Ovis aries: one gene and its partner. The protein of the gene in region 1 binds, or shares a complex with, the protein of each later gene. Links are inferred from orthologs where the notes say so. Each region holds a gene or a part of one and is shown on either strand. Other genes may lie near its edges.

Evidence for each region.
Region 2: the proteins of CACNA1S (region 1) and STAC2 are in contact, whole or in part, in a crystal structure (PDB 6B27), measured with the Homo sapiens proteins. The link is inferred for Ovis aries from reciprocal best matches to the Homo sapiens genes CACNA1S and STAC2. Residues at the interface, in NP_000060.2 of Homo sapiens: Glu749, Pro750, Glu751, Ile752, Pro753, Ser755, Pro756, Arg757, Pro758; in NP_945344.1 of Homo sapiens: Tyr301, Lys302, Phe303, Gln306, Glu307, Asp310, Asn326, Asp328, Trp329, Phe340, Pro342, Asn344, Phe345.

What each region holds. Positions count from the first base shown.
Region 1 is NC_056065.1:79,057,224-79,061,486, reverse strand, and holds the start of CACNA1S (voltage-dependent L-type calcium channel subunit alpha-1S), read left to right. Parts: upstream 1-1,211; 5' UTR 1,212-1,296; coding exon 1,297-1,448; intron 1,449-2,834; coding exon 2,835-2,940; intron 2,941-4,263. UniProt on the Homo sapiens protein: Pore-forming, alpha-1S subunit of the voltage-gated calcium channel that gives rise to L-type calcium currents in skeletal muscle.
Region 2 is NC_056064.1:39,451,220-39,453,775, forward strand, and holds the end of STAC2 (SH3 and cysteine-rich domain-containing protein 2), read right to left. Parts: intron 2,289-2,556; coding exon 2,184-2,288; 3' UTR 785-2,183; downstream 1-784. UniProt on the Homo sapiens protein: Plays a redundant role in promoting the expression of calcium channel CACNA1S at the cell membrane, and thereby contributes to increased channel activity. Slows down the inactivation rate of the calcium channel CACNA1C.

The DNA of each region.
Region 1 (4,263 bases):
GCCCTTACAGCCGGCGGACACGGGCACGAGAGAGGCCACCCTGGAGTCGGGCTCCGGCTTGGCCTCAGCCCCGCGCGGGAACAGGTCTAAGCCCAGGTTCCGGTGTGTACTCGGCCACTGCAGCCCTGATCTGTAAACCCCGGGCCCACAGGCGCAGCCCAGAAGGCAAGCCTGCTTTGATGGGCGGGCCTCGCCTGGACTCTCCAGGAGATGGCCTCAGACACCAGCGTCTCTTTGGGAGCTTGCCAGCCCGCCTCCCAGGGACACCCAGAGGGTGAGCTGCAGGCCCGGCAGCCTGCACCCAGCCCAGGGTGGGGTGGCGGGGGAGGTCGTGTGGCCCGTGCTGCTCCCTGGCTTCCTTACTGGAGGACCCAAGGCTCCCAGCCCGCAGCCCCCAGCCTGCAGTGTGGCCTTTTCCTTTCCCAGGTCGGGAGGGGACTGCTTCCCCTCATCCTGCGCTCCGTGGCATGCAGGCCGCGTGGGTGTATGTGCTGTGTTTGCACCAAGGGGCTAAATAAAGACGCTGGGCTCTGTGGTTCCGGGTCACTGTCCACCTCTTTTCCCTGGCGACCCAGTCTCCTTCCACTCAGAGCACTTGCCTGCGGGGGGTGTGGGGTGTTCTGTTCGCTTATGCATTCAGCTGACGTTCACGCAGAGCTCAGTACCTGCCGGGGCAGAGTCCCAGGGGCAGACACCTGCCCCTTGCACAGTTAGGGGCGGTGGGGTGAGGTGGGGAACAAAGGTGTGTACACCCAGGAGCCCCCCACCCCGGGGCGTGGGGGTGAGAGTGGAGGGTCTTGGCCAGACGGCTGCGGGTGGAGATGGGAGGGAGGGCTGTGGACTCCTACTGAGCCGGGCCACCCAGCACCTTTTCCGGATGGTGTCTTGGGGTGGGGAGGGGGACTAATCTTGACATCCAGGAGCTGGTGTCGGTGGTCCCTCCGTGGGCTCAGTGAGTCTGGGGGCTCCAGATCACTTCCTGAGCTCTCTGTCCACAGCTCCAGCCTGGGCCTGCGTGTGACCCTCCCCCTGCCTCCTTGGGGACATACCGGGATGCCGCCGGCTGGGCTGGGGAGGGGTGACAGCTGCCTGGCTGTGGAGCCGGGGGCTGGTCAGCGGGGAGCCAGAGGAGGCTAATTTTACCCCTGGAGCAGGGAGAGTGATCCTGCCCCGCCCGGCTGGCTCAGCAGGGCAGGCGCCCCAGCTCAGCCACCCAGTCCAGGAGGCGGGGGTGCTGGGCCGCAGGGAGGAGAGGGCAGCGGTAGGCGAGCAGGACAGGCCGAGGCCGCGGGAGCCATGGAGCCGGCCCCAGCCCAGGACGAGGGCCTGCGGAGGAAGCAGGCCAAGAAGCCCGTCCCGGAGGTCCTGCCCAGGCCGCCCCGGGCCTTGTTCTGCTTGACCCTCCAGAACCCTGTGCGGAAAGCCTGCATCAGCATCGTCGAGTGGAAGTATCCTTCAGGGGCTGTGCGGAGGGGAGGAGGGGGCTCAGTGATCACAGGCTCTGGGGGCCCGGCACTGGGGCCCAGGGGTGCAGCCGGGGGCTTTGGGAAAGGCAGCCCTGGCGCGGACGCAGGGGGCTGGGGGCAAGGCGCAGGGCCCCAAGGCCACCTCTGGAAGGTGCTGGAAGGCGTGGAGGCCCTGACATGGGATGGGGTGGCGGGGGCCGGCGGGGCTGGGAGGCCGGTGGGGTGGGCACTGAGCTCTGTGCAGACATCAGGCCCGGCTGGGCCGCACGCCCTGGGTACAGGGACGTGACCCCCTCCACGCTGGCATCAGCTCCGGGAGGAAGAATGATGAAAACGCCCGGCTTGCTGGGGCCAGGGGGACAGGCATGAGGCAGAGGGAAGGCTGTTGTCATGGGGGTGCTGAGCGCACCGGCTGGGAATATTTGGAATATTTCTGAGGGGCTTTGGAAGACCGGGCTCCCACCAGCTGTTGCCTAGAAGATAGAGAGGGAGGGAGCTGCAGGGGCAGAGAACCCGGAACCGGGGCGCCTGGTGGGACCGGGCCTGCCCCCACACTGCTGTGCCCACCCCGGGGCCCCCTGCCCGTTCCGTCTGGGGGGCCGAGGGCCTCTCTCCTGTCTCCCGGCGCCTCTCCAGGCCTCTGCCCTGAGGCCACCTCTCCCCAAACCCAAGGAAGGTGGCTGGAAAGGGCACGGGGCCTACCCGTGAGCTGTGGACACAGGGCGCATCCCCGCTATCAGCTCACGCACACCTCCGCTCCTCCATCTTCACCCCTCAGTCCCCACCACCCGCACCTCCCCTGGCGGCCTCCCCCAGGGCCCCTACTGCTCACCAGCAAGTCCAGGGAGCCTGGGGGTGCCCTCTGGCAAGCAGCTGGCTCGCCCTGCGCAGGGGGTGCTGGGACCTGGGGGTGCAGCTGCCGCGGGGCAGTCTCCCCTGCTCAGGCCACAGAGGCCAGGTTTCAGGGCACACAGCCGCTCCCTGTCCTGCCCCAGGGGCCTCACCTGGCTCGTACCAGCCCAGCCTCCCTGGCTGCTCCTCCGAGGCCCGGAGGACTGTCTGACTGTAGCGCCTTCAAGGGGACAGAGGGGTGGGTGGCCGGGCGAGAGGTGGGGGTGTAGGGACTGAGATGGGACTCAAGACTCCCTGAGCGTTGGAACTGAGTAGCCCCATACGGGAGCCAGTGCCTCGAGGTCCCTGAACTTCTCAGTCAACCCCCTGAAGGAGGAGGGTCCCCGCCCGCACCCCCGCCAGGAGCAGAAGTGCGATGTGGGCCCGTCGCTGGGCCTCGGTGTCCACAGAGACCCCCCGTGCACTCTGCTCCACCCGCAAGTCCCGCGCCTCACTCTCTCCTTGACTCTGCCGCAGACCCTTCGAGACCATCATCCTACTCACCATCTTTGCCAACTGCGTGGCCCTGGCCGTGTACCTGCCCATGCCGGAAGACGACAACAACAGGCTGAACCTCGGCCTGGTAAGAGAGTGTGGTCCCGCCTCTGCTGGCCTGCTGCCCAGTGGGGGATGCTGGAGCTTCACCCCCACCCCCCTGGGAGGGTAGAGACCCCTGTCCCCGAGACTTGCAGGGGGGGCTGAGCGGCTCTGAGCTCCGCAGGGAAACCTGGCTGGGCTGGATTCCGTCATATCAGCAGCCAGCACTGAGCAAGTACCCGCTGTGCCAGCTCCGTGCTAAGTGCTGAGGCAATCCAAGCAGGGGCTGGAAAGGAATGTCCAGACTTGGGAGCATTTCAGAAGGGAATGAGTTTGCTAAGAACAAAGATCAGAGAAAACAGGGGCCCTGCGAGCTCAGCGGGCTGACCTCCTAACAGGCCGGAGAGAGGCAGCGCTTTCCTGGTTTAGAAGCCAGTTTTTATAGCCTCAAGACAAAGAAAATTCCTGCTGGCAGGTTGCTGCTGGGTGATTGGTTGGGTGGACTTCCCAGGTGGCACTAGGGGTGAAAAACCCACCTCCCAAAGCAGGAGCTGTAAGGGACATGGGTCCATCCCTGGGTGGGGAAGCTCCCCTTGGAGGAGGGCATGGCAACCCGCTCCAGTATCTCTCCTGGAGAATCCCATGGACGGAAGAGCCTGGTTGGCTACAGTCTTTGAGCCACAAAGAGTCAGACGAAACTGAGTCAACTTAGCTCGCGCGCACGCACGGTTGGTCAGAGTGCTATAGGTTGAGCATGGGGTCAGCGTTTTGGCCTAATTTGGAGTCAGGAAGCTCGTTAGTGATGATCAGGGGGCTTTGGCAAAGGTTACGAAGGGCCTCAGTCAGCTTTGGAGGTGGCCTTGGTTCTGGCTCCACCCCTGTGGCCGCAGGACTCACTGCTGAGCACCGTGTGAGAGTGGGCTGTGTCCTCCGCACCACAGCCCCTAAGCCAGTCCCGTTCGGCAGATGCAGAGACTGAGGCTTAGTGAGGCCAGTGACGGGGCTGAATGCTGATCTCCCTTCCCTGGGTGTGACTTGGAAGAAACGCGCTTCTGTGGAGCTTGCTTTTCTGCGGGAGTTTATGTCAGCACCACGCTCCCTTCGGCCCAGCACCCACAACACGTCCACAGGCCAGGGAATGCCGCAGCTGGAGGGGGTTTCCTGGGTCAGGTTGTCTTGCTCCTCCCTGCCTCAGTCTGTTTGTGATGAGAAAACGGAGGCTTGGAGAGGATAAAAGATGGACTTACCGAAAGCCAGATCATAGTCCAACGCCCAACGTTGCCCAAGTGCCGGCTCTGCGTGAACATTTTGCTTTATTGTCTCGTTCCTCCCCCGTGAGGCCGTTAGGCCCTTTATGAGACGAGGAGAC
Region 2 (2,556 bases), on another chromosome or scaffold:
GGACTGGTCTCACCTGGCCCATCTTGATTTGGGGGTGGGGGTCTGGAGGGCAGAACTGGATGGGTGCCCATCCGGAGGAACAGGCCCCCCACCCGTTCTGCATTCTGGCGGCACGCGGTTGCCCTGGCACCTCCGCAGCCCGCCTCTCTCTCCCTCGGCGCGCGCCCCTCTGTCTATAAATAGCCCAGGACGTGCTCGCCTGGGCGATGACGCGGCCCGGCGTGCCGGAGGGGAAAGGCGGCTCTGCCGAGCAGGTGGGCGGCGGGCACTGCGGCGGGAGGGGCGCCACTGGGGCCCCCTTGTGCCAGGCTCCCAATGATGGGCGTGATTGAGTCATCTCAGGGCCGCACGGTCCGCCAACGTATCTGCCTCGGGCTTAGGGGGCTGCGGGGGCGAGGCTGATCTCGGGTGGATATTGAGGCCGCCAGACCCTGGGTTCGGCTGGTCTCCGGAAGCACCTCTGGGTGGGCAGAAACGCGGAGGTGCATGCCCGCCCGCTGCGCGACGCAGGTCCACATCGATCTAGAAAATGACCGCAGCCCCACTCTCTCTCCCTCCAGCGTCCCCCAAACCTCCTCCTCCATTTCCTCAGATCTGGAGTGAGGAGGCGTGGGGACCCTCACTGTCAGGGCCAGCCCAGCCCCTGTATCCCTCCTCTCAGAGATGAACGCACTCTCCACCTTCAGACTCTCTCCTATTTTGGTCCACACCCACCACACCCCCAGGCCCCGCCCACCCCTTCCCTTCCTCTGACCCAAGCTGATAGATACATAGAACAGCCAGGTTGGGACAAGAAACATTTAATTAGGAGTCTGGGGGCTCAGCAGTGCCCCAGCAGACTCCTCATGCAGCCTCATGTACAGTGGGCATTGGGCCCGCCCCTGGGATATTGCTGGCGGGGGGCCTCATGGCAGCAAACAGGGCAGTGTGGCTTGAGTTCCTTCCCCTCTGCGAGGGAGAGGTGGGGCAGGGGCCAGTGGGTAGGAGCGTGTGCCCCTCCCACCACATGGGAGGGTGTGACTGTGCCCAGGATGGGGGTGGCATTGGCTGGCACGATCAAGGGCACAAGAGGAGGCTCAGAGCTTGGGGAGGAAAGGGAGGTTGGCACCAGAGAAAACCAGCCTGCAAGGGAGGGGTCCTCTTTGCGTGTCCCCACACACCCCTTCCCCCAGCATGCCTACCCCCTTCCCTTTCTGGTGGTCAAACAGAATTCACTGTCTCCCACTCCTGCTTCCTCCCAGGGCTGTGTCCTGGAAAAGGGACCGGATGCAGCCAGAAAAAGGGCCCCCTGCAACGGCAGCCCTGTCCCCCACAAAGCCCCGAGGGAGGGGGTAAGGGAGGGCTATTGCAAGGTCAGTCCTGAGGGTGGGGTTCCTGGGGCAGGCCTGGCAAGGCCTGGGACAGGAACTGAGCGTTCAGAGTCCTGACAGTGAAATGGGGATTGTTTTGATCAGGTGGGCCGGTGGGTTTCTGTGTGCAGGCAGCTCTTGGATGTGTCCTCTCCCAGTGAACAAGGGTAGAGTGAGGTTGCTCTCTGGTGACTGTCCTACTGGAGGGGACAGCCTCTGATTTGCCACACTCTCCCCAGACCTCAGCCCTCCCCTCTTCTGTCCACCCAAGTTTCAAGTAACAGGAGAGAGAGCCACAGAACTTTCCTGAGAGTTGATGGAGTGACAGAGGTGATAAGACCAGGGTCCTCCCACAGCCCTGAGCTCCCTCCCCACCCGGAGCTGGGGCTGAGGGACCCAGGAGGGCCCCACTCCCAAAGTGACAGCTGCAGGGTCACACATACAAGGGCCCAAGCAGAGGCTCTGTGAGGAGAGCGGTGTCAGGCATGCAAAGGTGTGGTGGGCAGGGGTAGGCTCTCTGGAAGAGGCAGCCCAGATGTTCCTCAGGAACTTCCTCTCAGGGCTGTGGACTCTGCATGGCAACTGGACCGGGGGGACCCACCTGGAGTTTTGCCATTGCCTCCCACTTTCTCCTCCTCCCCACCCCCAAGTCTCAGAGCTGCAACCTCTTCAGGGCACCCCAGGACCCCAGAAATAACACCTTTCTCAGTACAGAAAGCTCCCACGCCATGGTGAATGGCCCCTGGGAGAGGAGCAGAGGGAACCCCCCGAGGGGCCAGAAGCTAGGAGGGCTGGGCACGGGCAGAGGCGGCTTCTGGGTCCTCTTGGCTTCTCTCAGATCTCGGTCAGGGCATCGGCTGGAACCAGGCCCCGCTTCTTGCCACTGCTGACGCGGATGAAGCCGTCAGCATCTTTGCTCCTGCCCACACCCACACAGATCTGAGCAGGAGAGACACAACGCTGAGGCCTGGCACTGCCTACCTCCCTGGCCCCGAGTCCTGCTGATGCCTCCCATGGGGCCTATCCCAAGGGATGATGGGACCAGCATCAGATGCGGCTGGAGCAGGGGTGATGGGAGCAGATCCCATGAGACTCCAGGGCACAGCAGCAAGAACCAAGCGGACAGCAGACACGGAGCAGCACTTCGGGGCTGACCTTTGAGATCAGCTGGTCTAATGCCCCTGACAAACTCCCCGTTTCCCAGAGG